Neurospora crassa OR74A: one gene and its partners. The protein of the gene in region 3 interacts with the protein of the main gene of each other region in a pairwise test. Links are inferred from orthologs where the notes say so. Each region holds a gene or a part of one and is shown on either strand. Other genes may lie near its edges.

Evidence for each region.
Region 1: the proteins of NCU03042 (region 3) and NCU02696 interact in a two-hybrid assay, tested with the Saccharomyces cerevisiae proteins (3 studies listed by BioGRID). The link is inferred for Neurospora crassa OR74A from reciprocal best matches to the Saccharomyces cerevisiae genes HSH155 and PRP5.
Region 2: the proteins of NCU03042 (region 3) and NCU00396 interact in binary tests that used the Saccharomyces cerevisiae proteins (3 or more experiments, as listed by UniProt). The link is inferred for Neurospora crassa OR74A from reciprocal best matches to the Saccharomyces cerevisiae genes HSH155 and RSE1.
Region 4: the proteins of NCU03042 (region 3) and NCU02717 interact in a two-hybrid assay, tested with the Saccharomyces cerevisiae proteins (2 studies listed by BioGRID). The link is inferred for Neurospora crassa OR74A from reciprocal best matches to the Saccharomyces cerevisiae genes HSH155 and CLF1.

What each region holds. Positions count from the first base shown.
Region 1 is NC_026501.1:3,228,741-3,236,705, forward strand, and holds NCU02696 (pre-mRNA-processing ATP-dependent RNA helicase prp-5), read left to right. Parts: upstream 1-3,549; 5' UTR 3,550-3,847; coding exon 3,848-3,988; intron 3,989-4,069; coding exon 4,070-4,423; intron 4,424-4,496; coding exon 4,497-7,586; 3' UTR 7,587-7,769; downstream 7,770-7,965. Other genes in the region: NCU02694 (hypothetical protein), read left to right, coding at 1-789; NCU02695 (hypothetical protein), read right to left, coding at 1,274-1,357, 1,490-1,795, 1,915-2,499; NCU02697 (uncharacterized protein), read right to left, coding at 7,952-7,965.
Region 2 is NC_026503.1:3,705,181-3,713,323, reverse strand, and holds the start of NCU00396 (pre-mRNA-splicing factor rse-1), read right to left. Parts: upstream 4,827-8,143; 5' UTR 4,545-4,826; coding exon 4,301-4,544; intron 4,238-4,300; exon of another isoform or gene 4,111-4,237; coding exon 2,034-4,110; intron 1,849-2,033; coding exon 567-1,848; intron 497-566; coding exon 470-496; 3' UTR 84-469; coding exon of another isoform or gene 1-83. Other genes in the region: NCU16683 (hypothetical protein), read left to right, coding at 1-83; NCU00395 (mRNA processing protein), read left to right, coding at 5,182-6,725, 6,797-6,836; NCU16682 (PXA domain-containing protein), read left to right, coding at 7,936-8,143. UniProt on the Saccharomyces cerevisiae protein: Involved in G2/M transition. Required for pre-mRNA splicing and endoplasmic reticulum (ER) to Golgi secretion pathway. U2 snRNPs associated protein required for the pre-spliceosome assembly.
Region 3 is NC_026501.1:8,341,765-8,349,624, forward strand, and holds NCU03042 (U2 snRNP component prp10), read right to left. Parts: upstream 5,020-7,860; 5' UTR 4,679-5,019; coding exon 1,031-4,678; 3' UTR 564-1,030; downstream 1-563. Other genes in the region: NCU03041 (hypothetical protein), read left to right, coding at 5,263-5,913, 6,293-6,916; NCU03040 (N-glycosylase/DNA lyase), read right to left, coding at 6,992-7,860. UniProt on the Saccharomyces cerevisiae protein: Contacts pre-mRNA on both sides of the branch site early in spliceosome assembly.
Region 4 is NC_026501.1:3,297,825-3,305,811, forward strand, and holds NCU02717 (pre-mRNA-splicing factor clf-1), read left to right. Parts: upstream 1-3,443; 5' UTR 3,444-3,542; coding exon 3,543-3,861; intron 3,862-3,938; coding exon 3,939-5,707; 3' UTR 5,708-5,911; downstream 5,912-7,987. Other genes in the region: NCU02716 (pre-mRNA splicing factor), read right to left, coding at 959-2,446, 2,549-2,896; NCU02718 (hypothetical protein), read right to left, coding at 7,272-7,987. UniProt on the Saccharomyces cerevisiae protein: Involved in pre-mRNA splicing and cell cycle progression. Required for the spliceosome assembly by promoting the functional integration of the U4/U6.U5 tri-snRNP particle into the U1-, U2-dependent pre-spliceosome.

The DNA of each region.
Region 1 (7,965 bases), about 5.1 Mb from region 3:
TGCCTATCGTCATCCCGTACCGAATCCGAACCGCCACCAATCAAGTGTCGCCGCACATGTCCCGAGCCAGCGCCAGCACCAGCACCATCATCACGATCAGCTACGCCCGCTTCATTGACGTTTTTGTCCGTCCCCTCATCTTCCGCAAACCCAATCTCAAGCTCCGGAAAGCCCCTCGTCCGCTCTTCCAGTGATATCGGCCCCCGACAAGACGCTATCAAATCCAACCAGATCGCCTCACGAAGCGCCCGCCTCTCGTCGGTCCTCGAGCTCCATTCGCCCTGCCCTCCAACGTCCGATCACGTATTCGATCTCTCATCTTCTTTTTCAAAGGAGAAAGGAGAAGGAGAAGCAGAAAACGATCTCTCATTGATGACCCCCGTCCTCGCCAAGCTCGCCATCGACCTGAAACTCCCCAAACGATTCCAGCCCTCACTCCGGACACGCGCCACGCGCCCTTACGAGCGGGGCTACTGGCTGGTGGACTGCACGTCATGGGGCCGCGAGCTCAAGGAGTCGTGCTGGCTTTTTCTAGCGGACTACCTGGGTAGCGGGGCGGCGGGCTGGGGGGTCTGGTGCACGCGGGATGAAGCGTTCACTCGTTTGAGATTGTATTGCTGGGGCGCGGTGGTTGGTCACCTATACCTTGTCTTGTACATAATTAGCAAGCGGGAGGTGCTGTATACAGGGACGGAATGGGTGGATGGGGACGGGGAGGTGGTCATTAGGATGGAAGCTAGGTCGCGGTCTGTAATGGCCACGGGGGTGGGCACGTTGAGTGCGAGGTAGGGCTCTAGGTTGTTGTGGCAGATTTGAATGGGCGTGGGAAACTGGTCCTGGTTCAAAGTGGACCGAAGCTGGGAGTTGCGGGCTCAGCTGATGAGTTGCGGGCGTTTAACAACCTACAGCCCCTGGTATCAGTGATATTGGGGGGTAACCAAACTTGAATTTGGCCCATGACTACTCTTCGTGTACATGAACTTGAGGCTTTGCGATGCAGTGTACTTCTGGTCCCTTCTTTATTTGGGTTCCTAGTTGGACACCCACATTCGTTCCTTTATTGATCCATAAAGATTATCCGATGATTCGCCTCGCTTCCCCAACAACCTTACAAATACATTTCGGTGCCACTCGAACAACAGAGTGCGACGGAGCATCGGCAACGAGCCGGCTAATTGTGTGACGAACGAAGCTCATGGAGGTCGCTCGGAGCCCATATAAATTCACATGAACCGAACCGGAAAAGGGGCGTCGAGGGGCGTGATAACCACACTCAAGCGGCAGCATGAGCGGCGGCGGCAGCAGCTCTCTCACTGAGGTATCTCTCCTTATCGACTGCAGCGTTGTCGACGTAAGGCTGGGTGAAGCATACGGTTGTTAACACGGTGATCAAGTCAGGCAAGAACGTCGTTGCGAACGGGGCAAGAACCTGTCGCACTACGATGGACAAGAGGGAAATGGATGACGAGGAAGGATTGAAAAGACCTACCTGTTTTGCCGCATCGTCCATGGACTTCCACTCCTCGGACAAAGCCTTCGCTATTTCCGGTAGGGGCTTGCCAGCATAGAGGGCGTCCTTTTGGCGCGACATGCAAAAGAACAAAAAGGCACTCCTTAGGCGCTTTGGGCGCCGGTCATCGGGGATAGGATGGACGACCGAAGTGACACCGAGGCGCTTCAGCGCATGACGGGCATAATTGGCGTCCTCGATCTCCATGGGTGTCTTGGTGAGTACCCACGCTGCCCGCGTAGCCACGCCATCCTGGTGAGCCTTGTCGGCCTTGGCTTGGTAGCGCTGTGTACAGAAAGATCGCAGTCAGCAAAGGAACAGGACGAAGTATGGTACAAACTTGAGAAGTAGCTGAAGGGCGGCAGAGGAACATCACGGGATGGAGCTCCATGGGGCAAACTTACGGCTTTTTCAGCGTCCGACAGCTCCTTCCACTGTGCAGCCAACGTTTTAAAGTACCCTCTCCGCGTCGCGATATCATCGCCTTCTTTCAAGACGTCCTTCATGTGCTCACTGATGTACGCGGACCAAGCAGGAACTCGGTGGGTTTTGGGATCTTCTTTGAACAGCGCCCGCTGCTTCAACAGTCTGATCCTGAGCTTCTTCTTCTGCTCGTCCGTCAGCGGTGCCTTCTTCTTGGGCGCCTTGGGCTTCTTGGGCGCAGCCTCCTTCTTGGCTCTGGGCGTCTTTGCCCTTGCGCCGGCTCCTGTAGCGCCCTCAGCGGCCGACTTCTTGGACTTTGCGGCGGCGGGACGAGTCTTGTTGGTCTTGGTGGCCGTAGCAGCAGTATCGTCCGATTCGGCGGCGGTTTTCTTGGCGCGAGTTAGGGCATAACCGCGCTGCTGAAAGACGACGCCGCTGCGGCGAAGGAAGCTGGGAGCAGCGGAGCGGGTGGTCGAGCTGGTGGACGCAGCCACGGCAGTACGAACGACCAGCGTGGTGCCAGCGCGCAGCTGACGAGCCGTCGCGAGCGCAATCTGCGAGAACATCTTGGACTGTGGCGGCGACAGTGAGGTCGGGGTGGGAAATGGTGGGAGGGAAGAGGGGAGAAGCTGTCGCGGCGCAGGTCAAGCAGGAACGTGTCTTGATGCGGGGCCAATTGCACAAGTTGGAAGTGGAAGGGAAGAGTGAAGCAATAGTGACAGCCGAGAGCCCTGTCCAAGCGGGAAGCTGGAGTGGGTCGGGGAAGATCAGTTTTACGCAGGATGGAGCCCGCACGGCAGACCTGCGGAGGGGAGGGCTCGTGCCCAGGCACTTGTGGATGTCGAGACTTGCAGGCGTAGTGTATGCGTAGTGTATGCGTAGTGTACACTACCTAAGTGGGTACTAGGTGTAGCGGTACGCAAGGGGACAGGTACCGGATGCTGCTTCAGTTACTTACCCTAAGCGTGGTCCGATCTCGTGGGCTTCCAGAAATGGAAAACCCCGTCTCAAGAGGAATGGTACTAGTCATAAGGTACGGACCGTTTTTGTTCGACAGGAGCTGTATTTTGACCTTCGTTCACGCAAAATATGTATTTCTCTGGCTTGAGGTACTTGAAGGTCGTGCCCTCGTCAACGTAGACATACTACGACAAGACAGTAAAGTTACAGGTAATATACGTCACATCCAATACCCAGATCAAGCTCCACAGGTTTGACCTCCATGGCACCAGTGGAGACCCCTACCTCAGCGCGAGCTTCATCCTTAAGAAGAGACACCTCCGCTTAAGCTCAGTCTACTAATAAGTTATACGATACACACAGACGGAGGTCGAAGAGTAAATGAGATGTACTCGGCAGCAAGTAGGCTTCGTATCTGCGCGAAACTTTACATGCTGACAAGGTACCTTTACTTGGAAGAGATACCCGTGTGATTTACAGTTGCGTATATGTATTTCTTATACCACACAGGCGGGCAAGCGCACGGTCCCTTGGGAGTTTGGGAGTTGCAGCACCCGCTGGGCTTGGCGCTTCCATTGGCAGGTGGAACCACAAGCGAAGCCCAGGCAGCCGCAGAAGGCCTTCCCCGGGGTGGCCACTGCACTCAGCAGCCCATTCCCGGCTTGGGCTTGCAAACTACAAACTTTCAACTTCCGCCTTGACGGAACCCAACGCTTAGTTGCCTCTTCGCTTCCTTCTCCACAGCCCGTCTCGCATCTTTACAGTTTCTGGCCGCACCGCCGCACAACGCCTTTCCGACCTTGGAACTGACGCTCATACCATCGGCCGGATCGAACACGACGGAGGGCAGCCGAGTGCGCAAAGACCCTCTGACTCGCTAACTGTGCATACCACGCGACTCGAAGTACCTCTCACCATCAGTGACATTGCTGAGCCAACGTTACTTCCAGCAGTATGGCTCGGCTCAGGGACTCGCGCTCACCATCTCCTGCAGGAAGTCTCTCTGCGAGAAAACGAAAAGACGACGACCGCCGTGACCGCGACCGTCGCGATGGCCCTGTCGACCACCGCCGCCGTTCTCGCAGCCCCATAGACGTAAGTCGACCGTCTCCCCGACTCCCGGTGTCGTGCTGCTCCCGAGAACCCCAATGGCTGACACGTGTGATATTCATGCAGCGCCGATATCGCGACCGGGATCGCGACCGCGGACGAGATGGAAGGGACCGCGACTCTTATCGCCGTAGGGATCGATCTATAGACCGCCGAGATGACGACTACTATCGCGGCTCACGTCGTGATGGTGACCGCCGTCGGTCACGCGATAGAGGCCTAGACAGGCTTCGTTCCCCAGACCGGCGTAGGGACCGAAGTCGGGATCCGGACCGAGAGTACCGCCCTCGGCGAGACGATTCGCGTGATCGGGCCCGAGTGCGTCGTGAAGGCACTGCTGAATCATCCTCACATCGTCGTGATGACGTTCGAGCACGCGACCAGCCGAAGCCAGGCAACACAACAGCCAAAGAAAACGAGGTACGTTTTGGAGGACCCTACATACAAGTATCCCCTTTTCCGGACCGTTCACTGACGCAACTGCATTCTGTAGCCAGCTAAGTCTACACCAACCCAACCGCAAACAGAGGCGGAGAAAAAGGCTGAACGACTACGAAAGCTGCAAGCGATGAAGCAAAAGCACGCTCTCAAGGAGGCAAAGGAAGCAGACGTTACCGCTGGGCTCACTAGGAAACTCTTCATGGAGATGGATCAGAGAGCCAGCGGCGCCGTAGTCGGCAGTGGTACCAACAGTCCTGCGCCTGCGAGCCCGGCAGCCGCCGAGTCCCCAGCAAGCCCTGCCCCCTATGTCGGCAAGTTTGATCCCAAAGCCATTGCGCGGAATGCTAAACCAGCACGTGCCAGTTCCCCGGTAAGGTTAGGCGACGTGAAGCTAGGTGATGTGAAAGTAGGTGCCCCGGTGGCGGCGGCGGCGAGTATAGCTGGCCAGGGGAAGGGTGCCGCATCGGGCAAAGCAGGCTTACTGCAAACTGGGAGGCCTATCAGTACTTTCGGGTTCAACAAATCCGCCGATGCCCTTAAAACGACAGCTAAACGGAAGATTGACATGGGAGATGAAGAAATCATCAAGCGCAAGCTTGTCAAACTCCCTGACCTGGCCCTCGAGAATGCTGACGATACCCCATACGCGGACGACGACGTGGCGGAAGACGCGGAGAAAGATTTCGACGTACTCCTTGCCGGCACCGAGGAGGACCGCGCTGAAGCCCAACGGTTGCTGCGCGAGCGGCGTGAGGAGCAAATTCAGAAAGAGAGCATGGCTATGGAAATCGACAGTGCCCCTTCTAATATCGAGGTTGCAACCGAGCCTGTGGCGCAAAATCCGACAGCGATGGATGTAGACGACGAAGTCGACCCACTCGATGCCTTCATGGCTGGACTTGAGCAGACAGCCTCTGGCGAGGAGTCGCACTCTAAAGCCGATACGCTGACCGAAAAGAAGAACGGCAATATTCCGCCTGAGGCCTACTTCAGTGATGATGACTACGGCTATGAGGCAGATGGGACCGACCCCACTTCCATTCTCGCCATGGCTTCCAAAAAGAAGAAGAAGGATATCCCCACGATCGACTACAGCAAGCTCGACCTGAATCCTATTCGGAAGAACTTCTGGGTTGAGCCGTATGAGTTAAGTCACATGAGCGAAGAAGAACTGGCTGAGTTGCGATTGGAGCTTGATGGCATCAAAGTGTCCGGGAAGAACATCCCCAAGCCCGTTCAGAAGTGGTCTCAGTGCGGCCTCACCCGTCCTATTCTCGATACCATTGAGAGCCTTGGGTTTGAAAAGCCTACGCCGATTCAGATGCAAGCTCTGCCTGTCATCATGTCAGGGCGTGACGTGATTGGCGTTGCAAAGACGGGATCTGGTAAGACAATGGCTTTTGCCCTGCCGATGCTCCGCCATGTCAAAGATCAAGACCCCGTTACCGGCGACGATGGTGCCATTGCGCTTATCATGACCCCGACCAGAGAACTCTGTACGCAAATTTACTCGGACTTGCAACCGTTTGCAAAGGCTCTGAAGCTTCGCGTTGTCGCTGCTTATGGTGGAAACGCCATCAAGGACCAGATCGCCGAGTTGAAGCGCGGTGCTGAGATCATTGTAGCCACACCAGGTCGTCTAATCGATCTTCTTGCGGCCAATGGAGGACGTGTAACAAACCTCAAGCGTGCTACTTATCTAGTCCTTGACGAGGCTGATCGAATGTTCGACATGGGCTTTGAACCCCAGGTCATGAAAATCTTCAACAACGTCCGCCCAGATCGCCAGACCATCCTCTTTTCTGCAACCATGCCCAGGATTATCGACGCGTTAACCAAGAAGGTCCTGCGCGACCCTGTCGAGATTACTGTGGGTGGGCGCAGTGTCGTAGCACCCGAGATCACACAGATCGTTGAGGTCATGGACGAGGGTAAGAAGTTCAACCGTCTGCTAGAACTCCTTGGAGAGCTTTATGCGGACGACGACGATGTCCGTTCCTTGATCTTTGTGGAGAGGCAAGAAAAGGCTGACGATCTATTACGCGAACTCTTACGGCGCGGCTACGGTTGCATGTCTATCCATGGAGGTAAAGACCAAGAGGACCGAAACTCGACCATATCTGATTTCAAGAAGGGTGTGTGCCCCATCCTCATTGCAACCTCGATTGCGGCCCGTGGCCTGGATGTCAAGCAGTTAAAGCTCGTCATCAACTACGATGCCCCTAATCACTTGGAAGACTACGTCCACCGCGCTGGGCGTACTGGACGCGCTGGTAACACGGGTACGGCAGTCACCTTTATAACCGAAGAGCAGGAGAATTGCGCATCTGGCATTGCCAAAGCGTTGGAGCAGAGTGGCCAGCCCGTTCCAGACCGGCTGAATGAAATGCGCAAAGCATGGAAGGAGAAGGTTAAGGCTGGTAAAGCCAAGGATGCCAGTGGGTTTGGCGGCAAAGGCCTTGAGAAGCTCGATAAAGACCGTGAGGCCGCTCGCATGCGTGAACGCAAGACCCACAAGGCGGAAGGCGAAGAGGACGATGTCAAAGAAGACGCTCCTGCAGAAGATGGCGAGAAGAAGGACAAGACCAAGGTTGCCATCCAGTCCGCTGTATCTGCCATTGTGTCACGCGATGCCTCCAAGGCGGAGACCGAGGACAAGCACGCCATCCCTGCGGGTGCCGTCAAGGCCGGGCATCACGCAAGCAGCGGCAAGAGCGGAGGGGCTCTCGACAAGGCGGCGTCCGCCATCAGCGAGATCAACGCACGTCTCGCCCGGGCCGGTCAGCTCCGGCCTGGCCAGCCCATTGACAACAAGGGTCCCGACGCGGGCGCGTTCCACGCAACTCTCGAGATCAACGACTTCCCCCAGAAGGCTCGTTGGGCTGTCACCAACCGCACCAACGTTGCCAAGATCCTCGAAGCCACGGGAACGTCGATCACCACAAAGGGCAACTACTATGCTCCTGGAAAGGAGCCAGGTCCGGGTCAAGAACCAAAGCTGTACATTCTCATTGAGGGTGATACCGAAGTTGTCGTTGGCAACGCGCTGTCGGAGCTTACTCGTCTGCTTAGAGAGGGCACGATGGCGGCGGCGGATGCTGAGAGCCGTGCTCCTGCTAGCGGTAGGTATACGATTACATGATTGTCTGGGGACCATAGTGGGTGTTTCAAGTGTAAAGGTCAGCTTCTCACTTGACGGGGTTTTTACCTGATTAGGGTGACATGTACACACGTGCGAAGAGGTGGTGGTTGGCGATATAGTATATCTACGATCAGGTAGTTGTTCATAGATGCATTATAGATTGATACGTCCAGTGTTCTACTCACAATAATCACAATTTGCGTATGAGAGTGAAAAAAAAAGCGTGCTGTTCATGCTTGGGGCAACACCCAAACGAGCCATCGTCAACCACTATAAGCACCACCCACTTTCAAAGCGATCCAAACTCCCAATCAACTTGAACTATCCCTTCCGCAAAATCAGTCGCGCACCGTCAAAGAACCACCTTAATTATAACTCC
Region 2 (8,143 bases), on a different chromosome or scaffold from region 3:
GGGTTATGGGAAGGACGTGGATTAGTGGGGTGAAGAGGTTGGTTCCCACTGCTTCTAGTACTGCGTCGAAGTTTGGCAAATAGGTAGTCAAGCCGGGGATCGGGACTTGAAAGCCAGGAAGACTGGATCGTAAGCAGTTATGATGCCATGCTTTGTGTACCCAAAATTTTGTATATTGCCAAGCAATATGGCTCTTCTTTTCTTTTTGTTTAGCCACGTACCAATCTGTCTCTTCTTTCCATCGTTAAATCTAAGCACAACGGCGTACATACAATTGACGCCTAAACCACTTACCACCACCGGAGCGCCTAGCTGAATCAACAGCAGTAATCCAAGTTAACATTACAACAAGGCTTTGATCCATCCCAGATGTCTGTGAAAACGACGCGCTTCTTTGCAAGGAGTTTCATATACATTAAACCATAAGCTCGCAGCCATTACTTCTCACCCAGAAACGATGTACTCAAGTTTAGAAGGCAGACCGGGTGCGGATATCCTAGACAAAGCAAGCAGGTTAGTAAGTGAATTGTTTCTCGAAATTCAAGGGGGTTTGAGGGAACACATACCGAAATCTTGCGCTCGATTTCCCTCACCGAGCGATCAAGTTCTCCCGCAATCATCTGCTTCTTATCATTCGGCAGCAAGCTAAACCTCTCGCACAAGTCACCATCGATCACACCCTTGACGGGGGTATAGTAACCCCGGTAGATCAAATGATCACGGCCGGCAAGCGGCGGGTCTTCAGCGCGCATATGATTCTCCAGATTCTGGAAGAAGTCGACATCCTCACGGCTGACAAAGGGAATGAAAACACCGACAGTGCCCTGCAAGCCGCTCCAGAGCAGCACGTCCTGACCACCGACAACTAGGCTGGTCTTGCATATGCTGGTCGGCAAGTCCTGAGTGTAGAAGTGGACCTGGAGGCTCAAGCGGTTGGGTGTGCCATGAAGGTAGTTGCGGGCGTGCATCAGGTGGATCTCTGATCCAGGCTCGTCAGTTTCCTGGCTGACGCGCTCTGGGCAACGGACGATGTATATGTTGCCGAACTTGTCGCCGCCGGCAACGGATTCGTAGTCGACCATGGTGGTGCAGGTTGTCCAGCGGTTCAAGGTGTCGTCAGCAAAGGGAATGAGTCTATTGCCCTCGGCCTTGTAGACAACGTACGTGATGCCTTGCTGGAGATCGCCGACAATGATGCGGTTACCCTGGCTTTGTAGGGAGACGATGAGAGTGGGCGTCACATCTGCTTGAGCTTTTCGGAGCAGTTGCTTCAAACCGAGGTCGTAGATACGGAGTGTCTTGCCGACGCCAGCAAGCAGACGTCCTTGGAACGGAATGAGTGCCAAAGGCGGCTCTTCTACTCGGGTCTTATGAATGAACTCCAGGTCCCGGCCGTCTTCATGGAATCTGTAAACATGGATGTAGCCCTCGGTAAATTGACGTGGGTCGAGGACCATATCTTTGCCCGTGCCGACAACCAGGAAACTTTCGCCCTCTTGACTGGCAAAAGGTACAATGGCCGCGCTGACTGCCGCCTCATTGTTGTCAAGATCAATCCTTTGGAGGACTCTCGGTTCCTCACTGATAGGGTCGATAATGCTGATGCACGATGCCCATCTACCTTTGGCTCTGGGATATCCAAAGTCCTCTGGCGGCAGTACCGTTGCGTCGCCATTGCTTTGTTGCTCCAGAAGCTTTGCCCGCAGCTCCGGGGGGAGGGTGTTATTGTCGGATTCGATAGTGTAAAAGTATGGCTGTTCGGGATGCTTGACCAAGTGCTTAGGTGTGTAAGTCAAAGGAATGGATTTCTGAATCATGTTGTCGCCCAGTTTTTCGATTGAAAAGATTCTGCACTCAATGTCAGTGTCTGTGAAGATAAGGACGTGCAAAATGGATGGGTGTATCGGGTTGTATTTGTAAGGAACAATTGGTACAATCACATATGATTGCTCCAATCGCCTCATTACCCAAGGGCATAGAGTTCACTTTCCTCATCACATAACTGGACGCCAAACAATTTGGAATAAACTGACCTTAGGTAGTTGGCATGAATACCAACCATGCCTTCCAAGCACTGTTCGCTACTGAAGTTCCAACCATACTCAAGCTCGGTGTAACTTAGGGGCGTCATCATGAAGCCCTTAGTAAGTGGGTCGGTGTAGCCTAACCATGGCCTCGAGCTCAGCGCAAGAACACATGGCTGATCCTGAACTGATACTTGGAAAAGTCTGGTAGGCTTGGGACCCAAGAATTTTTGACGAGTGTCTGTCAGTTCGCCCGTCACTTCATCCAGCACAGTCCGGAGGTAAACGCCCGAATGCAATCCGATGTGGAGATAGAGCGTGGATCCACCAAACGAGTCCTCCATCGACATGATTGATAAAGCCGAGGGCGCGGCTGTTAAAGCTTGGATGGACTTCATCTCGAGTGTTGAATCAGGGTCCAAGCTAAGAATGCGAACTGTGCAATCATCGCATCCTACAGCTAGGAAAGAGCTTCGCTTCAGGCCCTCCGGTACTTGACCGACGCTCAGCGATGTGACGGTACCCGACATCTCCTTCTTTTCGTCATACTCGGCGAGCGAACCATCCGAGTCCATTTCGAAGTAGACGATTTCGCCAGAGCTCAAGGCGATGACAACCTGATTCTCATTTGCCGTGGCAGCAACAATCGAGCGATGCTGAGGTGCAGGCCATTCATTGACACGACCTTGGACGATGTGGCGAATGCCCTTGGGGTGAACTTGTATCAAGCCATCCTCACCCATTTGCTGCACAGCTAGGGTGGGCGCCGTAGTCAAGAAACCACTATCGCTGACCTCTTCTACCGTCTCACCAATGCTGAGAACCAATGTTCCATTTGTGAATGACAGCACAATATAAGCATCGTACTGATCGTACTTGGTCAACTTAGTCGTCCATACAGCAGAAGGTGTACCCGGAAGCTCCGAAGCGACAATTTCAGACACTTCGAGTCCGTGCTTCAACATGCGGAAAGTACTCCGCGCCCCATTTCCACAGACAGAGTAGATCTGGGGCGCGTCCTCTCCCGTCAGATTCGCAACCTTGCAGTCGACCTGAGGGTTCATCGAATCAATGCTCTCAACCAGGACCAGATTTTCAAGTGGCCTGGGGTGGAAGTACACCGGGTTATATGAGGCGGTAGGGTCTGTCGGGAAGTCGTCGCTGCTGAACTCGAGCTCCTCGTCATCGTCTCCGAGCTTTTCAAATTGGTAAAAGTGATGGTTTCCAAACTCGCTAGCGGCGAACAGGAAGCCGCTCTTCAGGATGCAAAGACTAGTGGCTACTGGTATCGTGTCGAAGTACTTGATCTTGAGGCGCTTGACCTCTCCGGTGGGGTTGCCGTCACTATCTTCGATCATGTCAATGGTGACTTTGAAGAGATCTCCATCGTCCGTCTGAAGAAGGAAGAAAAAGGCGCCCGCGCTTCCCTTGAGCTTGTGCATAACGCCAGAGACGATAACCCGCTTCCTCTGAGGATCTTCGGTGGCACCGCTGCGTCTAGGGATGGGGACGCGGAAAGCCTCTTGATTCGAGTGCCGATAGGTGACATTTTCCTCGCCGCACACCAAGACACCGCTGGGACCGTCATTGCCGCCGGGTACTTGGAAGAGAAGTGAAGAAGTGCGATCGACAGTATCTGACCACTTGCGTACAACGTGGTTCAGGCCCAGATCAAGCTCGTAATATACCAGCTGTGTCTCGACTTCTTCTCGTGCTTGGCCCGTAGGATCTTGGTCCGCGTCCGTGTAGTCCAGTTCCAACGCAGCGAAAACGGGGTTTGCGTAACCAACGTCAAGGGCAACAAGAGACAGCACCAACACGCCTGGCTTGTGGGCTTCCAGTGGTGACGAGATGGTAAGCTCGGCCTGTGAGTTTCGGTTGAGAACATAGACCAGCTTGTTCTTTTCGAGTGCCGAAATGAGGCATGCTCTTCCCTTTGGATCTGCGGCTAAGTACTGGCCGGGGATGACTCGGCGGACGCCCGATTTGCCGAAAGTCTCGAGGTGGATGCGCTGAAACTTGTTCGTCTTGGGGAGATACTCGATAATCGTAATGCGGCCCGAATCAGTGGCGAGGATAATGTAGTCTGGGTGGCACAGGGTTTTAGCACAATCCCGCTACCGATTTGAATGAGTCTCTCAAGTCCCCAGAAGACTCGTAGGCCTGGGTGCATGGTGCGTGACCATACGTGTGGCCCCTCTACCCAGAAGCACCTGGGGAACGGATCCAGAATCACTATATTGCCCAACACAGGAGGTGGCGGGGAGGTTACTCACCCTTGTGGCTGCCGGCCAGACGGAACGACGCGATGGCGCGTACGATGCCGAAGATGTCATGAGACAACAGGGTGTTGACCTTGCCCTGACGGGGATCAGGCTGAAGGAGGGTTAGACGCGATCCAGACGCCGTAAGAATCTGCTGTTCCTTGGTTCCCGAGAACTGACCAAGCAGAGCCTGCGTGACAGCGGTGGGTGGCTGGATGGTCAAGGAATACAGGAACATGTTCGACGTAGTCGCCATGGCTGCAACTGGGCGCAGACAGCCGGCGCGGCTCTGCTTTCTCGAGGTTGTTTTTGCAAGTGGGTAGGACTCGGTTGTGCTCTGTCAATGCTGCCGTCGTTATGTTGAGAAGACCAATGCGCGAAAGTCAGCCAGATTGTCGAAAATCTAGAGTTGAATATCGAGTAGATGATTGTAACACGGCAAAAAAAAATGAAACACGGTCCAGTGTTCTGGCACTCTGGCGAGGTAGATGGAGTCGGTTGCCGTCGATGGTATTTCTGGCCAATTGGTGCAGTCCAGTCACTCAGGTTGCAGCGGTACGTCGGACTCGGTCCACGGTAGGTCGTAGACGCCGCCCACTCATCTTCCCGCCTCGCGACTGTGGCTTGCTCGTAGCTCTCTGACCCGCATACGTAACGTCAGACGGAGCTTACCTAGGCACAATTGTGGCTGGTGAAGCAAGAACAAAGTGGGTCATTCGATGGACGGGACCCGCCTAGGCACTTAGGCACAGTAGAGGTAGGTAGCGAGTCGGGTCGGTGGGAGAGGACCCCGGATTGCTGGGAGCTGCTGCCAAAAAGTCAATTGGAAAGTCGCATCGAGTCCCGGCGATCCAGATTCCCGATCGAACATCATCCGACCTCTTGAACTCCCAATGGCCCTCCCAGCAGACCGCGCCGTGCGTCCGGCCTTGTCCAAGCTTTGCTCGCAATGCTCGACTTTCACAGCTAGACAGAGCAGGCAAAGTGCTGCGTTTTTGCAGTCAGCCCAGCAACGCTCCGTCAGCTCCATCCGAGGGGCACAGAGCTCTTCCTCGTCTTCGACGCAAGTCGGCGGCATCACCAGAACCATTTCGCGTCCGATCCAGGCTTCGATCACAAGCAAGCTTCCTTCCGTTGCTGCCCAGTCCAGAACCAAGGCCAGCAGCTCGACATCGTTTGCCACCAACGAGGATCTGGCCGGTAGTGGTATCCCCTCGAAGCCGATTCTCGAGCAGGACAACCTCTTCCACTCCTTCACCAACTCGCCCATCCCCAAGATCCGCCAGCGCGCGGCCTTCATAAGACAGCACGCCAGCTGCCCCCACCATAGCCACCGCCCAGGGCAGTTCTCCGAGACCAACCGCCAAGTCGATACCGAGTCTGGCTCCCAGCCGCCGAAGCACGTCGATTTCGAGTGCCCTGACTGTGGCATCCCGGTATATTGCAGCGAGCAGCATTGGATGGACGACTATGAGAAACATCTCGAGATATGCGACACTCTGCGGCAGATCAATGAAGATGACCATGACCTCCATTCAGGCCGCCACTTCTACGAGTTCAACTACGCCGGTCCGCAAATGGATGATGCCATGGTCAACATGACCAACTGGGACACGTTCATGTATACCCGTCAGTTCGAAGCTGTCAACGATGACCGGTGCATGAGACAGGCGACTAGGTTGTTGACCTATCCTCTCACGATCGGCAGCGTTCTTCACGAGTTGAGCCCGTACCACATCCGGAATCGCCTCACGGTCGAGGGCTTAAAGAGTTTGACGGCACTTCGCTATACCCTGCATCCTCCCAAAACTGGAGGCAACGAGTCTATCAAGGGTCTTCGGCCTGAGGCGCCCCCCGTGCGTGTCTTTATTCTCGGTGCTCGCGCTGAGTCGTCGCTGCCTAGAGATGCTTGGGTGCAGTTGGCCCATCTCTTCCCCCTGTCGAGACTCCATCTGATTTTCATCGGACCCGAGAGCATGATGAACCGCGATGACGAATTTCCCCTCCCGCCTCGTACTCCCGAGAATCCTTACGGTGCGGTTGTGGAGGATCGCGTATGGCCTACCATGAAGATCAGCACCATTGTGGATTATTACCATACTATCCACAAGACGGGTTATTTCGCTCCTCACGATCCTTACTTCGACTGCTTCGTCCTCTTCCACCCTGGTTTGGGCCACCCGGCAAGCTCCCACGAATGGGAGGAAACGCTGCCTATGCTTCTCGAGACCAAAGCTCCTATCATTGCTACGGGCTACACGCAGGCTGACATGGAGCGTGATGTCGAGTGGGTCAACAAGAAGGCCAAGGGTGAATTCGACATTCTCATGGAGCCTGGCGAGAACATCTTCCGCAGTCTCCGGTGGGATCTGAATGATCTTGACCCTCAGGACGTCAGTGCCGGTAACTGGGGTGTGTGGGCCTTCCGCGGAAAGAGGTTGGTGCTCTCTTGATTTTTTTCCCCCGCACAACTAGATACGGTTCGAGAGCTAACAGAGTTTGTTTTAGGTACGAGGCTACCGTCAAAGACAACGTCATTGCTGTATAGATGAGCCATGCGTATGCTGGTCGTTGCATCCTGTAAGATGTAGTAGGTGTTGGCAACCGGGCTGTTAGGAGCCCAGACTGTATAATAGGAATATCGAACAAACGCATTGTCACGACCATATCGGCTTTTTACACTTCAAGACTTTGTGGTATCTTTTCCGTTTCTAACGGTACGGGCTGGATGTTACGGATGTCGGATCCAAGGTGTGTGTTCAAAATCTTTTGGACTGCACAGTCTGATAATCTCGTAGTTGTGGGCCTAGGGAGGCACTGATCTGCAACGGTCAGGCTCGGGCCGCATGCAGCAAGTGCCTTGTGTCACGGCAGTCTGCTGTGGCAAGGGTGATGACAGCTTGAGCCTCATCGACGACAGACGGTTTTTTTTTTTCAAGCACTTTTTGTCCGTCTCACGCAACACCTTGCACCGCGCAGTAAATTTCGGTCAACGTTTGTCAAGCGAAGTGCAACGATAACAAACTTCAGGCGTGGAGATTCCTAACCTGCCAGCAGCAGTGTGTATCCTTGGTAAGAAACGAAAACTACCCACATGCTGGAAGATGACTCGCACCGACTTGACTAGAGTTAAAGGAATTTAAAAGCGGTCGAGGATGCGGTGCCGCCTTAGCTGCGTAAGTCAAAGGTGTGTGCTTTGTTGACATTCATTCAGGGGAAGCTCGACGACTTCAAGGGGTGATCGGTTCCATGCTACGGGCAACGACCATGCTTGGTCTTGGCTAACCTCACCGCCTACCCGTTTCGGACAGGTATTGGCTGATAAGCGGCAGGGTGCTTCCTTATCACCTGGGCTACTGCCGCTGTTGGCTGGGGTCGCCGGCCATCCACCACAGGTGCGGGACAGGCGTGGACGGAACACAAGACCGGACCACTCGCTACCTATCAACATGCACCCAGCACCACCTGTTCACCAACCACTGCACCGCGCAACACGCACAATCACACCTCGACGATTTTCTCTTGTCTTCCGCCTCTCGCGCTTCAAAGAGCTGCCAGGCTCTGAATTGTCATAAAGAGTGGACGGCGCTATGATATGAGCGGGTGCGCGCGGGGCACAATGCTTGGACACCGCTAGTTGGCCCGTCATGACAACTGCCTCGACTGCTGCTGCTGCTGCTGCTGCTCCCACTTTCTCTGCGCCCTCTGCGCCCTCTGCGCCCTCTGCGTCCCCTGCGGTCCCTGTCACTGCACAGAGTCAGGGCCCCGCTCCCACTCGTCTCTCAACCCCACGACCAAAGTCGCCCAGGACGAGCTCAGAACCATCTTCGTCGACAAACAACCTGAAGGCCGGCA
Region 3 (7,860 bases):
AGATAACAGATCAGTAGGTACAGGACATAGGTACTCAAGGGAAGAAGACACGGGTTGCCTCTTCTGTAGAGTGGAGGTCGGAAGCTACCTCATACAAGAAGGAGCCGGAGGATAGGTACCTACCTCTAGATATACTAACAGGAATGATAAAGACCAAGCGGGAAAGAGTGAGCAGCAGAAGCCTCGGTTGTCCCTGCCTCCCGGTCTCTAGACAAGTACAGGCAGGATATAAACGAACTCTCAGAGTGATCTGGAACGGAATAAAGTGTTACTAGTAGTGAAAAATAGAACGTCCGTATATATTAGCCAACCAAATCTACATCAGTTGTCTATCACCTATAGAAGTTGACAAACACTAACTACAAGAGGTTTACCAAATAAACTCGAAGGAGAGTGAACTGACATGAACTGACATGATACAGGACTAGTGTAAGTAAATGGAGATTAGTAAAAGAGTGGTGTGTTTGTTGAATGACAAGAGAGGTGAAGCAGAGGTGAGACGAGAAGGAAAACACTTGTCATTCTGTCAACGATCTGTCACAACCTCTAGCCAAATAGTTTCATGAGGGAATGGAAAATTGTTGACGTTGAAGTCCAAGAAAGAACATCGATGAACTCCGTCATTATGTATTTATCCTTTTTTGCACTCATCTGCTCGTCTGACCTAGCTTTACAGGTGCATATGTAACAACCTAGCTACTTTCTGACCTAAGAACAATCGTCCACCATTCTCTTACAACATAGAAAGCCATCATCTTGGATGTCCTAACCAATACGACAAACGATGACATTGGCGCAGATCGCATTTTACAGTGTATATCGCACATAAAACCATAGTGACATCACTTGATCCTTCTTTTGTTGTGCGCGTGTGTTTATGTGTGTAAAGCCTTCAATGGCGCATAGCGCGCCCAAACCCCAAGACGCTTCGATAAAAAGTCGCGTTGTTCACCCTCGTCGTCATAACGAAGCTGAACCATAGAAACAAGAAACCTGTTTGCTCCTGCTAGACTAACCTGATTCCCATCGCCTAAAGCACAATCGCCAACTCCGTCCTGTCGATGCCCTCCTCGATGAGGTTGGGATAATACGGCACCATAGCGTCCGCGCACTGGACGTATGCATCGTTGTACAGACGCCAATATGGTGTCCGTACCTTTCTTGCCGGGTGGAAAAGACCGGCCCAGACGTAGTTGAGGACCAGTCCCGGACCAACGGCCATCCTGATGGCCTCGATAGCCTCGACGATGCGGTCGATAACGTGGGGGCTGGTCTCGAAAAGGTTGGGATACAGCAAGTTGAGCAAGTGAACCATGGCATCCTCGCAACCGAGACCAACAACGCCAAGGGCAATGTGCTTGACAACACTAGCGGCTGTTTGTCTGTGCACCTGGTCACGGTCAATGAGGGCGTCCTCCAGGAGTGGCGTGACGGCGTAAACATAGTCCTTGGCCATCTCGCCGATGTACTCGAAGAGGAAGGAGAGCGACTTGAGCACGCCGTTCTGAACGTTGAGCTCGGGGACGCGGTACTCGTTCATGAGCGCAGGCAACACAGTGAAGGGCGCGCATGTCTCGGCAACGATACCGATGGCGACGGCCGTGTTGACACGGGACTGACGCTCCTGAACGCGGAGGTTGTTCAGAAGGGTTGCAAGGACATCCTGAGGACCAATGGCCTTGGCAATGAAACCGAAAGTGTTGTTGGCAGCACGTCTGATGCCCTTCTTGTGAGCCTTGAGCATGTCGAGAAGCTCGAAGCAGATTCGCATCCATTCGCGGGCGTTGACACTCTCTGGACCGCGATCGGCAATACGACCTACGAGATCAATCGTGTTCTCTTGTACCTTCTCGTGTCGGTTACGAAGAATAGGGGTCAGGCGAGGCAGAAGATCCTTGATAGGGGGCTGCATCTGGCTGATACCCACGACAGTAACAATGGAGCGGAGAGCACCAAGAATAGAGCCAAGGACCTCGGGATACTCCTCGCCAAGATACTCGTAAAGAACAATACCAAGCTTACCCATGAGGGCATCTTCACCGCATTGCTTCATGACCATGGCGATGCGGGAGATCAAATCGGCTGCTTGCTGTCGTACAGTAGCTGACTTGTTGTTCAGACGCCAAAGAATGGTGCTGACAATCTGAGGAAGGTAAGGCTTGCATCGGGTGCCTAATGCGTTAACCACCGAACCGAAGCCGTTAAGCATAACGATGTCCTCCACGCTCTGTTCCTGGAACGCATGAAGAATGCCATCGATAAGGCGTTCTTCCAGACGCTCGCCAATATCGGCAGCACCGAGAGAGGCCACAATCTTTTCAACCGTCTCCACCGTCATCTTGCGGTAGGCTTCGCTCTCGTCCTTTAGGTTGGCTACGATCCTTTCCAGAATCTCGCTGACACCAACCTTTTGGCCAATGTCGACAGTGGTCTCAACGACCTGTCGGTAGTTGCGCTTATCCAGAGCCATACGCCGTACCCAAAAGCTCTTGAAGAACTCGTCCAGCACATGCTCCTTTAGGTACCCAGCCGTTACTCCATCGGTGGCGGCGCACTGTGAAATCACCTTTAGCACAACCTTCTTCATCTCTTCATCAGGAGAGGCAAATTCTCGTAGCAGAATCTCCATAATCTGACTGGTGTAATAGTTGGCATAGTCTTCATCCATAAGCGGGATAATATAACCGACAGCCTTGAGGAAACCCGCCAGACCCTTGCCTCGCTGCTTTCGGGCACCGGTCCAAAGGGGGTTGAGAATATCATCAAAGCTCTCGATACCGTAGGGGTTAGATGCCTCGGCGAGAGCTGCGATGGCCAAACTGGTCACTGTGCGGACCTTGGTCTGTTCATCGTTCAGGTTGGGTCCGATACAGTCAACCAGCTGCTTGAGATGGGGCAAGACTGCGCAGCCCATCAAGATGGGAATCTGCTGGACGATCTTGACACCCGTGTGACGAGCCTGCCACGACTTTTTGCTTCGGCACACAGCTCGCAAGAAGGGGAGCAGAGCTGGGATACCCAGAGCCGAGGCAACGACGGCAAAGGCTCTGGCAGTAGTGTTTCTGACATATTCATCGACGTGATCAATATCTGGACGCATGACACTGATCATTGTGGCAAGACCAGCAGCCTTGCTGAGGTTCGAAATGATTTCCCGACCCTCAACACGGGCATAGTAGTCCTGATCGATAAGAAGGGGTTCGATAACGACGAGAATCTTGTGAACGTATGGTCGAACCATGTCATCGAGCTTGTACAAAATACGATCAATAACCTTGACGAGAAGATGGCGTTCCTGGTCCTCCAATGTTTTCTCCATGAGCAGAGGAAGAATTTGGTTGAAGAGGGGGCCGGCACCAAAGTTGCGAGCATTATCTGTCAATTGTCTGAGCGCAGTCTTTCTCATAGGAGGAGTACCGTTCTTGACCTTCAGCAAGAGCCTCATAATCTTTCTCTCCTTGAGCTCTTCGACACTCAAACTTTCCTCATCTGCTCCGTCGGTGAGCTTGCCGAAGTATGCCATATCTTCGGGCTTGAAGAATTGCAGGTCTCCCACACCGGGAATCTCCTTTGGCACCTGCTGGCCTGTCATCCGTCCGCTGTCGGGGTCCTGCATCATGAAGCCCGTTGTTGGGGCCGGAGCCTGCATCAGCTTGTGTGCCGGTGCTCGCACGGGGGCATACCCTGGTGGCGGCTCAAGAATCTTGTAACCTTGTTCGGGGCCTGGAAGCATCGCGTCCAGCTCTTCGTCGCTGAGTGGTGCGTAGCGACCGGCCGCATCAGCCCCGAAAGCTGGGGGCACGACAGCGGTCTGGGTAGGGTGCATCGGGGTAGCTAGGCCGACATTACCAACAGGAGTGGCAGAAGGCGCCTGGTCCCAGCGGGATCGCTTCTTGGGTTCCGCCCCTGGCGCCCCTGGAGCGGGAACAGATGGTGCTTGATCCCACCTAGACCTCTTCTTGGGCTCTGGTGCCGGGGTAGCATCATCTGTAGAGGCGACATCCCATCTCTTCTTGCGCTTCCGACCAGCCGCAGCTTCAGTAGAGCCAGCCTCCTCGTTCTCCTTGTTACCGGAATCCTGAAGGGTAGGCTGGTGCTCCTCGACCGGACCGCCCTCCTTCATCTTCTGTTCAATGGCGCGCCGTACGCGCTCTTCCTCTCGCTCAAGCTCGCGGCGTTCCATGATTTCCCGGTAACTCTCGCCTTCATCAGTGGCACCTGCTTGGCGGTTGGCAGCAAATGGGTCGGCTCGTGTAGGGGTCAGAACGCGGTCAAATCGGCGCTTCTGGTAGTCGGTCTCCCTGTCGGTGATGCGGTTGCTCTTTTCGCCCCGGCCAGCCAGGGGATCATCCTCCTCGACGCCATCGCCGCGTGCAAACTCATCGATCTGAGCTCGGGTGGCGGTGTACTGTCCTACTAGGCGGCGGCCGGAGTCGGCATCTTCCATCTCTTCGTCGTCGCCATCGGCAGCAGGCAGGGTGGTGTGGTAGCCCGCAAACTTGTCGCCGGTGTTGCGCTCATACAGATCGGTGTCCCATATTTCTCCCAGCTTGGCTTTGGTGCTGTTGTCGGATCGTTGGTTGGCAGGATCAAAGCTGCGCGAACCGCTCTTGGCGGCAGCAGCAGCATTGCGCTCCTGCTGGAGCTTCTTGATCTGCTCAAAATCCGAGTCCGACATGGTGCTGGCCGTATCCTCCTCGTGTCATGTCAGGTCGGGGTCGTCGCAAGAATGTCCAGCGCGCCGCGAGGGTGAATGATGGTATGTGGTCGGGAGGAAACGGGACGTGATGATGTGGCGCTGCCCGTGGGTGGTTGGGTGGGATCGGGTATGGTAACTGACGGGGCAGCTAAATTGACGGTGACAGTTTTGACACTTTGTCGTGTATAACTGAGGCTATCAGCAAGGGAATAGACGGTGGAGGCAGAGGGATGCAGGTCACGGCTGAAGACGGGCGCAGTGGATGCGGTACGGTGCACACGCCTTCCCTGAAATTTTGGCCAGCGACTGGTGACGGGACGTGACCGTGAGAGAGCTGACACGGGCTTGGCAAGGCTGCACCTGAAGTTTCCACTCCAAGTGGCGCTCCAGGTGCATTAGGTAAGCAGTCCAGACCTCGACGCTTTCGATCGCGGTGGGGAGCAGGGGAGCTTCCATCCATTTCCACTTAGCTCATGTGGGGAGGCAGCACTTTCACTTTCCACACCCTCAACTTCCATCCATTTCACCTCTCTCAACCTCGCTTCATCTTCGCTTCGACCAGCATGACATCCCAACCTGCAACGCCGCTACTGTATGTAGAGTTGCTTTCAAATATCCGCCAGATATCGCTGGCCATCTCACTGGGCTCTGCAAGCGATGCGTCAACACGAGTAGTGGTGGCAGCGGATGGAGAGAATGTCGAGCTCACACACCATGGACAGTCACATACACTACATCTACCCGCAAAGGTAGCCCTTGGCGGCGCCATTCTGCCAATACAAAGACCTGGAGCCTCTGCGCTCTCCTGGAGGTTACCGTTGGGTCAAGGAACATACACGGATGCATCATCAGCCGAGTCGTCCACTTGGACAGCCACCGATTTGAAGGCCGGGTCCGAAGTTGTTTGTAGACAATGCCAGGCCGTTGTTGTCAAGCGAGATGTTGTCAAGGTGTGGAAAGACCTCCCGAGTGAGAACTGGGCTGAGATGATGGAGTTTTGGCACTGTCACAAACCTGGTGACCACGATCATGACCATCACCACCACGACAAGTCAAACGGCGTTGATGCCAACGGGCAAAGCGATAGGGCAGATGACATGAGTCTTGCAGCTCGAGGATATGGCGCGAGCTCGGCCATTTCGGCGCAACAAGGTGTTGGGTTTGTTGATCTGACAACGCTGTTATTCGTCGAGCAGGACTGTTCCAACATCACGGTAAGTCCATATGTAGCATGCTCATGACTTGGTCTATTCACCGTCTCGAATGCGTCCATTTGAATCTTAGCAGTCGGGGCATCAAGAAGGTAGCCAAGTCGGCCTCGGCCCCTCAATGGCATGGATACCGATACAAATGCCCAAAATCAAGCAGACTCTGTCCCCTGCTTATGCGGGGCATTGAGTGGTCGACGAACCTGACTTCTGTGATGGGGCGCTTCCAGTCGGTGGATGACAGGCTGAACCCTCCGCATTTCGCCAGATCATTGCCAAGTCCTAAATGCTCTGGGATTAACTGGAGGAACATCCTTTCTCAACTCTTCACACCAGTAAACCTCTCCCCTCGTCAGTTAGTGCTGACCATGTTTCCGCTCTTTAGTATTCACTCTCTACCCCTGAGCATGGATCACCAGATAGGCAAGTTGTTGCTTCAGACGAAAGCAGCAACCAGGTTCGGAGCCTCAACGTGTTTTGCTCTTCCTGTCAATCCCAGCTCGGTTTTTACAATTTCCGGACAGCCGCAGTCACACTCCTAAAGTGGCAGATTTCGTGCGATTCTGTGTCCAACCTCAGCCCAGGACTTGAAGAGTGTCTTGCCGCGACCCTGATTTCCACCATAGCACGATCAGGATCCTCCAAGTCGCTGTTGCTTCCCATCACAGAGACCATAGCAACCACAGAGGAAGAAGGGGTAGGGAAGGACCAAGTTGTCCATATATGGGTGCTTAACAGTGGTATCGTGTTTACATCATCTGCCATGGAGGCCACGGTTACGAGGCCAGGAGCTGAAAGTGGTATTCCGGCTATGAAACTGCTTTATCGGTTGGTTCCCCGAGAGGAGGCTGACCGCATGCTGGATTCACTTACTGGCGATGCCCAGGAGGTGAACCTTCCGACAGAGGCCATCAAGGAGGTTGTGGAACGTCTAGACAGGAGTAACTGTCTGCTGCCTACCACTGAACGGGTATTCAAGGAGTGGAAAGTGGGTTTACTGAGGCGATGAATCCGGAGATGGGAATATGTGCTCAAGTTGGTATGTATTGGTAACAAAGCAGCCCCATCGGCGTTATTCTCGACCTCAAACTTGACTCTTTATCCTTTTACTGGATCGTAATGTCCGGGTTGTTGTCGTCTGGACGGTGGCGTCCGGTTCAGCTTTTGGTATCACTTCCGCAGCAACCGTTTTCCGTTTCCTGGACATGGCCACTGACGTTGTGGCGGCCATCTCTTCGCTTTCTTCGATTTTGACCACCACTCCTTTATTTTTTCCGGGCTTGGGCACAACCTCAGCAGTCGTAACCATCTCTTCCTGGCTTTCCTCTTCGACTTTCACCACCCTCTTCTTCTCTACCCCAGCTGCTTGTTCGGAAAACGACTTGAGATTCGCAGTAAAGAGGACACTCTGTGCCCAACCAGCCTGAGGACCCCATATCTTCCTGAAATGGTCGCCTACGGCCACATACATGGCCTTGTTGAGCGTCTTGGTCTTGGCAGACCCTTTCCCACCAAAATTGTAGTCTCTTTGCGCGATCTGCCAAACGTGCGTGTCGATGGGAACAGACTCGCCCCACCCGAGACCCATTAGACACACACAATCCGACACCTTGGGGCCAACACCCGGCAGAGTCAACAGAGCTTCATGAGCCTTCTGGTAGGTCGGTGGGTTGTCCAAGTCAGCCTTGGATTCAACAGACTCCTTCTCTTCTGCCCCTTCTTCCTTCTTCACTAAAATATCCTCCTCAGCCGCTCTCAACGCAGGAACACCCGGATTCCTCAACCTCAGCAACCACCTCTCCCCATAAACCTGCGCCACACACCCCGCCGTCTCAGCAATGTACTTGGCCCTATAACCAAAGCCCAGCTCCCTCAGATGGGCCTCGACCCCTTCCCCCGCCAACGCCTCCGGCCCGGGGAAATCATGAAACGCTTCTCCCTCCACGGTGGCCA
Region 4 (7,987 bases), about 5.0 Mb from region 3:
TTGTTTTTGCCTTTTCTTTTTCTCTCTCTCCAGGACTTGAGATAAAAGAGATTAGATGGAGCTCCACCCCCAAGTTGGGATCAGGTATGTATTACAAGCCAACGATACCCTTGACTACCTTGACTACTTCAGAAGATGTCCTAAACCAACATGACACGATAGGATGCCATTCTACTTGTTGACGGTCATACTGGCAGACAGGTATGTCGTGACACAACCGGTCTGGACTTGGCCTGCAGCTAAAGACAACAGACGAACGGACAAGCAGCGGCCCAACTGTTCTTTGTGTAAGGGCCGGTACTTCTGCGTGTCTTCTATGTTGTTTGTCTTCAAAAGGCATGCCCGGTGAGTGTCAGACGTACGCACACCCTTTAAACATGGCCATGCCGAAGGAAACCAAACCGTATACCTAAATTATTCGAGCCGTCTGTCTTCAGGATCTCGGTATGCCGAACTGAAGCAGAAGGATATCATCGATGTTCTGATTAGAAACACACATGAGATTTCGTAAGATCTACGGATTCCTACGTTATAGGTTCACTAACAGTCGTAGTGCATGGGACTGGTAAACTCATTCCCTCTCCTATGAATTGGTTTAGGTTAACAGTGGAACATCAACACGATAAGAGGATGCATGTACAGCAACATAACATCAACCAAAGTACAGGAGAAAAGCCTTTGTCGCAAATGGAATGTGATCACTTCCCTGAGTTTTTTCCCCCTAGCAGCATGACCCTCAAAAAATTGCCGAGTCCATGATATGATTATGATCTAGAATGACATGAGTTGTGCAAACTTTAGCTTAGCCGGTATTAGCTCGGATACTTCTCCCTTCAGAGTATCCAACTGACCAGGGACACACCGAGCCATCCCAACGGGATTGAGGTTAGGGGACCACGCTTGGTCACCGGCGTACGCTTTCATCGACCGGCTCGTCCACCGTCTCCATGTACAGGTGTCACTTCGTCGCTCCCGTATCTTGTCTCTTGCTGGGGGGCAATGCAGGCTTCTTGAATTCACCGGCGCCACCCGAGTTGCCAACTTGGGTGAATGTGCCGCCCTTAAACCAGCGGTCCTCGTCTGCTTTGCGCTTCCTGCTAAGCTCGTATTGCACCTTTGGATCAACGAGCTCTAAGCCTTGCATAGGCGTAAACGCCAACGACGATACCGTTCCGGCGGTGGCGCTGCCCACCGTGGTACCAACGCCTGACGTCCGCAAGCCCTTGCTGGCAGCCAGATTGATGTTGCCAATGCCGCTGCCACCGCCAGCAAGCCCTCTGAGAGATGATGCGGCGCCGCCATTGAGCGAGCTGGCGCCACCCCAGCCCTTGCTCTTTGCACTCAACTTGGCACGCGTGCGCTGGTCGATTTGCGTGACCCGTAGACGTCCATCGTCACGCTGGCCGATCATGCCCATGCCAGCGGTAGCGTCGCCCGTGCCATAACCGACTTCCTTCTCCTCTTTGCCAAAGGCCATACGGTTCTGAGCCTTGCGCAATTCCGTCATGGCCGTGGCCTCCTTGGCTTTACGAGCGCGTCGGCCACCACGCTTTCTACTCGGCTTGTCGTCGGGTGCCGGGAGAGCGCGTGCGCCCTTGCTGTTTGGCTTTTGCTGCAACTTATCTAGGCGGTCTAGACATTCGTCCTTCAGTCGTTCGCCTTCTGACCCATCCCTGAACTGGTGAAAGCAGTCGGTGCGCGCGCACATGACAATCTTGTTTGCAAACATTTTCATAGCCTGTTTCTTGAGGTCGGTTGGAATCCCACGAATGATGTCTGACTGATAGATGAAGCCCTGCTGTCTGATGCCGACATTGGTGGCAAGAGCAGAACTTGTCTGTTTCTTAGAGCCCCAAGCCGGGAGGTTGCAAGCCGGGGTTTTGGAAAGGCCAGTCAGGCCGCCGGCTTGGTTAAGAAGCTGTGCTGCTGTGAGGGAACCGATGAGAGCCGTCAAGTTTGGCGCAAAGATGTTCATGCGAGACTGTACGTACTCAGTGAGGGTCTTCTTAGCCTTATCAAGATCGACCACCATCAAGCACGCTTCTGTGACGCGCTGGATCTCATTCTCGCCCAGAAATTGACCCTTGGAAACCGTGGCTTCCACCGTGACAATCATCAAGGTTGGTCCGTCAAGAACTGACTTGAGGGTTAACCCCAGAGGGTTATCGGTGGAAAGCTGCAACGCTTTCATGCTCTCCGAGTCCATTGGGGAGTTGCCCAAGATGGCAACAACCTTGCAGTATTCGATTGGGTTCGGTAATAGCGACTCGAGTGCAGCAAATCTGGCGGAGAAGTGATCCCTCACAAACTTGTGGACAAGGGCCACCTCACTGTCTATCAGAGTAGACAGTCTGTTGGCGTTGGTCAAGAGGTTGTATTCCGGGTGATCTTCGACATGGCCGACGTCGTTGGCCTGAGCGGGTTGTGCTTGATAGTGTGCGATTTTCTGCAACGTTCGATCCAGACTGTCAGGGCTATTGCTCAAATAAGATGTAAACGCTTTTCCATGTTCAAAGGGAGCACCGCAAACGGGTATAAGGGAACTAACCTCGAGTACTGGCTTCAATGACTTCATAAGAGTCGCAACAGTTCGAACATCTCGCACTCCTCCCAGATGCATCTTCTCAACCTTGGCTTTTGCTTCCTCGGGATCTTCTACAGCATTCGAGTCGTCGGCGCCGACGCCACCCATAGCTTCGTCTTCGTCCTCGCCCTCCTCGTCGCCCATGCCTTCATCTTGATCCTCATCATTGATCGGTACATGTGCGTCGTCCACGCCGGAGCCTCCAGTCGTGTCAACGCCATCGCCTAGAAGACCATCGCCATACTCCTCGCCACCGGCCTCGGAGCCAGAGTCCTCAAAGTCCTGGAGGAGCTCGTCGAGAGTAGACGACATGTTGGCAAAACCCTGTTTCCTGGGCAGAATATTCGGCGACTGTTCGGGTCTCAAGGTGGTTAGATTCAGGAGTAAACGGGACAGTCGCTGATACAGGTACAACAGCTGCCGTGTGCCGAAGAAAGAATGGAAAAGAGTTCGATGTGTTGTCGACTTGTTTTGGTTTTGGGAAGAATGGAGGCAAGAGACCGCGGCGTTGCATCACGGCCTAGCGTACTGTACTGACCTCGTTGCGCCAGTGCTTTGCCTGCCGGTCGTACACAGTGCGGCTTGGTATGTCGCCGATAGCTGCCAGTGCAGTGAGTAGATAGTGTCAAGTAGGCGTAGTTCGCAGCCACACCCAATACAGCGGCCTTCCAGCGGCTCAGCGTCGTCTTATGGGCGAACCTGCTCGCTGAGGTCGGACATGTACTACCTATCAGATGTACAATGACATGATGAGCGAAAAGTGTCCATACCCACTGTGCAGCAAGGTTCAGTAAGTAGGCAGGGGCATCGAGCCACGGTCCATCAATCGCAGCGCGTCCTCAACTGAGTTCAGTGGCTGGCTGCTGTTGCGTCCAGACCCCAAAATCTCATTGAGAAACCGAACTTACAACACCACGCCAACATCTGCAGATCGCCACTTTTTACGCCCATCTTCACAATGGAGTCATCGCGCGGCCCGCCACGGGTGAAGAATAAAGCCCCTGCGCCTGTACAGATCTCGGCCGAGCAGCTGCTGCGCGAGGCCGTCGACCGCCAGGAAGTCAACCTCCAGACCCCGACACAGCGCTTTGCCGACCTCGAGGAGCTCAAGGAATACCAAGGTCGTAAGCGCAAGGAGTTTGAGGACTACGTGCGGCGTAACCGAGTTCGTCTATCGAACTGGCTCCAGTATGCTCAATGGGAGCTAGAACAGAAGGAGTTTGCGCGGGCTCGCTCTGTGTTCGAGCGCGCTCTGGATGTACATCCCAACAATACTCGTATGTTTGTCTAAACTCAAAGTGTCCATGTGCTGTTAAATGTGGCGCACATCAGTCGCTAACGATATGTCCAACAGAACTCTGGATCCGATACGTTCAAGCAGAGATCAAGAACCGTAACATCAACCATGCACGCAATCTGTTGGACCGCGCTGTCACGCGGCTGCCCAGAGTCACATCTCTCTGGTACCAGTATCTCTACGTTATGGAGATGCTCGGCGACATTCCGGGTACCAGACAAGTCTTCGACCGGTGGATGAAGTGGCAGCCAGATGAGCAGGCGTGGAGTGCTTATATCCGTCTAGAGAAACGTTACGGCGAGTTCGACAGGGCAAGGGAGATCTTCAGGGCCTTTACCGCCGTCCATCCGGAACCGAGGACGTGGCTCAAGTGGGCCAAGTTTGAAGAGGAATACGGGACCAGCGACACGGTCCGCGAGGTCTTCCAGACAGCTATCCAGACAATTGCCGAAACGCTAGGCGACGATGCCGTTGACGAGAGGATATTCATCGCCTTCGCCCGGTACGAGGCCCGTCTGCGTGAGTATGAGCGGGCCCGTGCCATCTACAAGTTTGGCCTCGACAACTTGCCTCGGTCCAAGTCGATGACGCTACATGCCCACTACACCACATTTGAAAAGCAGTTTGGCGACAAGGAGGGTGTGGAGGACGTCATTCTTACAAAGAGGAGGAGATTGTACGAGGAGCAAGTCAAGGAGAACGCAAAGAACTACGACGTCTGGTTTGACTTTGCGCGACTCGAGGAGAGCGGAGGAGATGTCGATCGGACCAGAGAAGTCTACGAGCGAGCCATTGCTCAAGTACCGCCAACCCAAGAGAAGCGACACTGGAGGCGGTACATTTTCCTCTTCCTCTTTTACGCGATATGGGAGGAGAGGGAAACAAAGGATATCGGGCGAGCCCGTCAGATCTACGACACCTGTCTGAACCTGATCCCCCACAAGAAGTTCACTTTTGCCAAAGTGTGGGTTGCCAAGGCGCACTTCGAGATCCGACAGGGCCAACTAACGACGGCCCGCAAAACCCTCGGCCGCGCCATCGGCATGTGCCCCAAAGACAAGATCTTCAAGGAGTACATCCTCCTCGAGCAGAAGCTCTACGAGTTCGAGCGCTGCCGCACCCTCTACGAAAAGCATGTCATGTACAACCCGGCCAACTGCCAAACATGGATCAAGTGGGCCGAGCTGGAACGTGGTCTCGACGATCTCGAGCGCACCCGCGCCATCTTCGAGCTCGCTGTCTCGCAGCCGATCCTGGACATGCCCGAGGTGGTATGGAAGGCGTACATCGATTTCGAGGAAGAAGAGGGCGAGTACGAGCGGACGCGTGCCCTGTACGAGCGCCTGCTCGAGAAGGCCGATCACCCCAAGGTCTGGATCAGTTACGCCCAGTTCGAGATCAACATACCCGACGAGGCCGAGGAGGAGGAAGAAACGGAGGAGGAGGTGGAAGAGAAGCCTGTTAGCGAAGAGGCCAAGGCACGTGCTCGCAAGATCTTTGAGAGGGCGCACAAGAGCATGAAGGAGCGCGAGCTCAAGGCCGAGCGTGTGTCGCTGCTCAACGCGTGGTTGGCGTTTGAGAAGACGCATGGGTCGGCGGAGGATATCGAAAAGATTCAGAAACAAATGCCTAGGAAGACCAAGAAGAAGCGTAAGCTGGAGGATGATACTTGGGAGGAATATGTCGATTATATCTTCCCGGCTGATGATCAGCAGACCAAGAACTTGTCGAGTCTGTTGGCCATGGCGAATGCTTGGAAACAGCAGGCCGCGGGGGGTGCTGGTGGCGCTGCTGTCGATGAAGCGGCTCAGGGAGGGAGCAGCTAGTGTAGGAGATGCAATGTTATATTAGGCCGCAGACCAAGAAGCCCATAAACTTTTCCCCCCGAATACAGTAACCGATATGGTGCGGATCTTTACTCCCACACATATATACCTCTTGAGTTGTTCTCGGTATTAAAGATCACATAAAAAGCCCAAACCACGATAGAAACCCCATACTTTGATGAAAGGTGTGAATTATATTTTAACCAACTGCTTGGTAGGTTGTTCCATATCCCGTACGATTAAATACGGCTTTGTACATGTTGGGATACTCTGAGGATATCAGGTCTTCCTCGGCCGTCGAATCTCATGGTGGTCTTGACGTCGATTTCCAGCACATTGTATTCGTGGGTCCAAAAAGTATCGTTTATCTCCATGAAAGAAACTGACTACCGGCCTTCTCTTTATACATATATCGTGAGAATTCGCAAAGAGGCATACATTGTTTATCATTGTCATTCTCTCAACCTCTCGGAATTGATCTGTTTCTTCATCATCCTCATAAAACCCAACCTGTTGACCATCATTATCATCATCATCATGAAAAGGAAAGAATAGGTAGAAAAAAGTAGAAAGAGAGCGAAAACATGTCGTTGTAGCTGCCGCCCAGCAGAAGGTGTAAGAAAGTTGGAGTAAGGAGTACAGAGAGTGGGCAAGGGAGGAACAAGCTATGCATAGATGCCGAAAGATAGGAAGTGTAAGGATGTAGGGGCCGACATAACCGCATGTTGTATCCTTTGGCAGCCAGGCCAACCAACCACACGCCAAGTCTCGTGAGATCCAAACATCCATGTGTGTGACTTGCGAGCCAACCAGAACAGCTCAGACAGCCAGCGTGCGGCGCGTTTCCGTTCCGGTACCGGCCGTTTCGGCACCGACCAACAACCGTTTTCCCATCAATCATTTCGCTGTTGCAGACTTGCAGTGGTTTGAGTGCGCGTCATTCCTCACAGTTCCTGTTTGTCGAGGTTCAACATGCGTGCCCGTTCAGTCGTACAACGCAAAAAAACCTGCTTGCAACCCCTGCCAAGGATCGCCACATTTCCCTGGATTTCGGGGTCCTCCTGTCTTTTTCGGTTCAATCGGTTCAGATAGTGGAGACTATGTTTAGCGACGGTGATCTGTTTGCGCAGAAAGCGGGAGAACAATTAGTCAACTGGTTAAACAACTGCATTTGATAACTTTTCGTGTATGTGATGAAAAAGGAAGAAAAAGGTCATGTTCATCGTAACCAAAGCATATCAGGAGGCGCAACAGCAACTGTAATAAGCGATGAGGCATCGCAGTTTGGAAGATTTCCCCTTGCGCATGTGTCCAACCAAGCAGAAGGAGGGGCTGGGCTCTAACGGTCAAGGTGTTCGTCAGACCAGCATGAGCTCAAGCAAGGCACACGCTCCCTCGCTCAGCTCAAGTTGAGCAAACGCCCAGTAGTGACCAGCTCTCTTGTTGTTTCTTGAGGCACCGCGTAGGATTGGGGATGCAAGAATGCAGATTGAATGTCGGGTCAAATTAGAGAGCACGGGTGACAGACGACGATAAAGCGGGCAATGGCAAACCTGCCCATAACTCATCTCCTGCCAGGACTGCTGCCCGATGGAGGAGATGGATTGCGAGGCATGGCACCGTATGGATTCCCATCAGTATAATAGGGACCATCCTCCAGGCGGGTCGCCTTGGGCGGCGCTGAAGAAGACCAGTTGTCAGCCCTGCGTCTGCCGAAGTCGACAATGTCGCCACGGCCGTCCCCGTCAAAGTCATTTGCCTGGTTTGCCGTTGCCCGCAGTCTTTCGAGCCGTCTCTGATGCCTTTCCTCTTTCTTCTTCTTCCACTCATGCGTCTCGTGCGTCACCTCACGAGCCTCCTTCATCTCCGAGATGGCGCCCTTGATGCCCAGGGCCGCGATGCCGACCGATGCGGCATCTTGCAGCATGGCTCTCTGCTTGAGCTTCTTGGCTTCTTCCGGACTCAATTCCCCTTCCCTCACTGCCTTCTTACGTACGCTGTGCTTCTCCACGCTTTGGTAGATGTTGTGGGCAGCGTGGATGGTCGCCACAGCTGCCAATCCTGTAGTAATCATTTGCTTACCTCTCATTTTCTTGGTTCTCTTCCTGTCATCGTCCGAATCTCCCAGGTCGGATGAGGAGACTGATCCACGCGAAGCATCGCGTCTCCTTGCCACAGTTCCTCCTCCCCTTGAGCGACTACGGCTGCGGCCGCTTCTGGAGCGCTCATCGTCTGAGTAGTCTCGGTGTCGACGCCCGCTTCGAGAAGAGTCGGCATAGT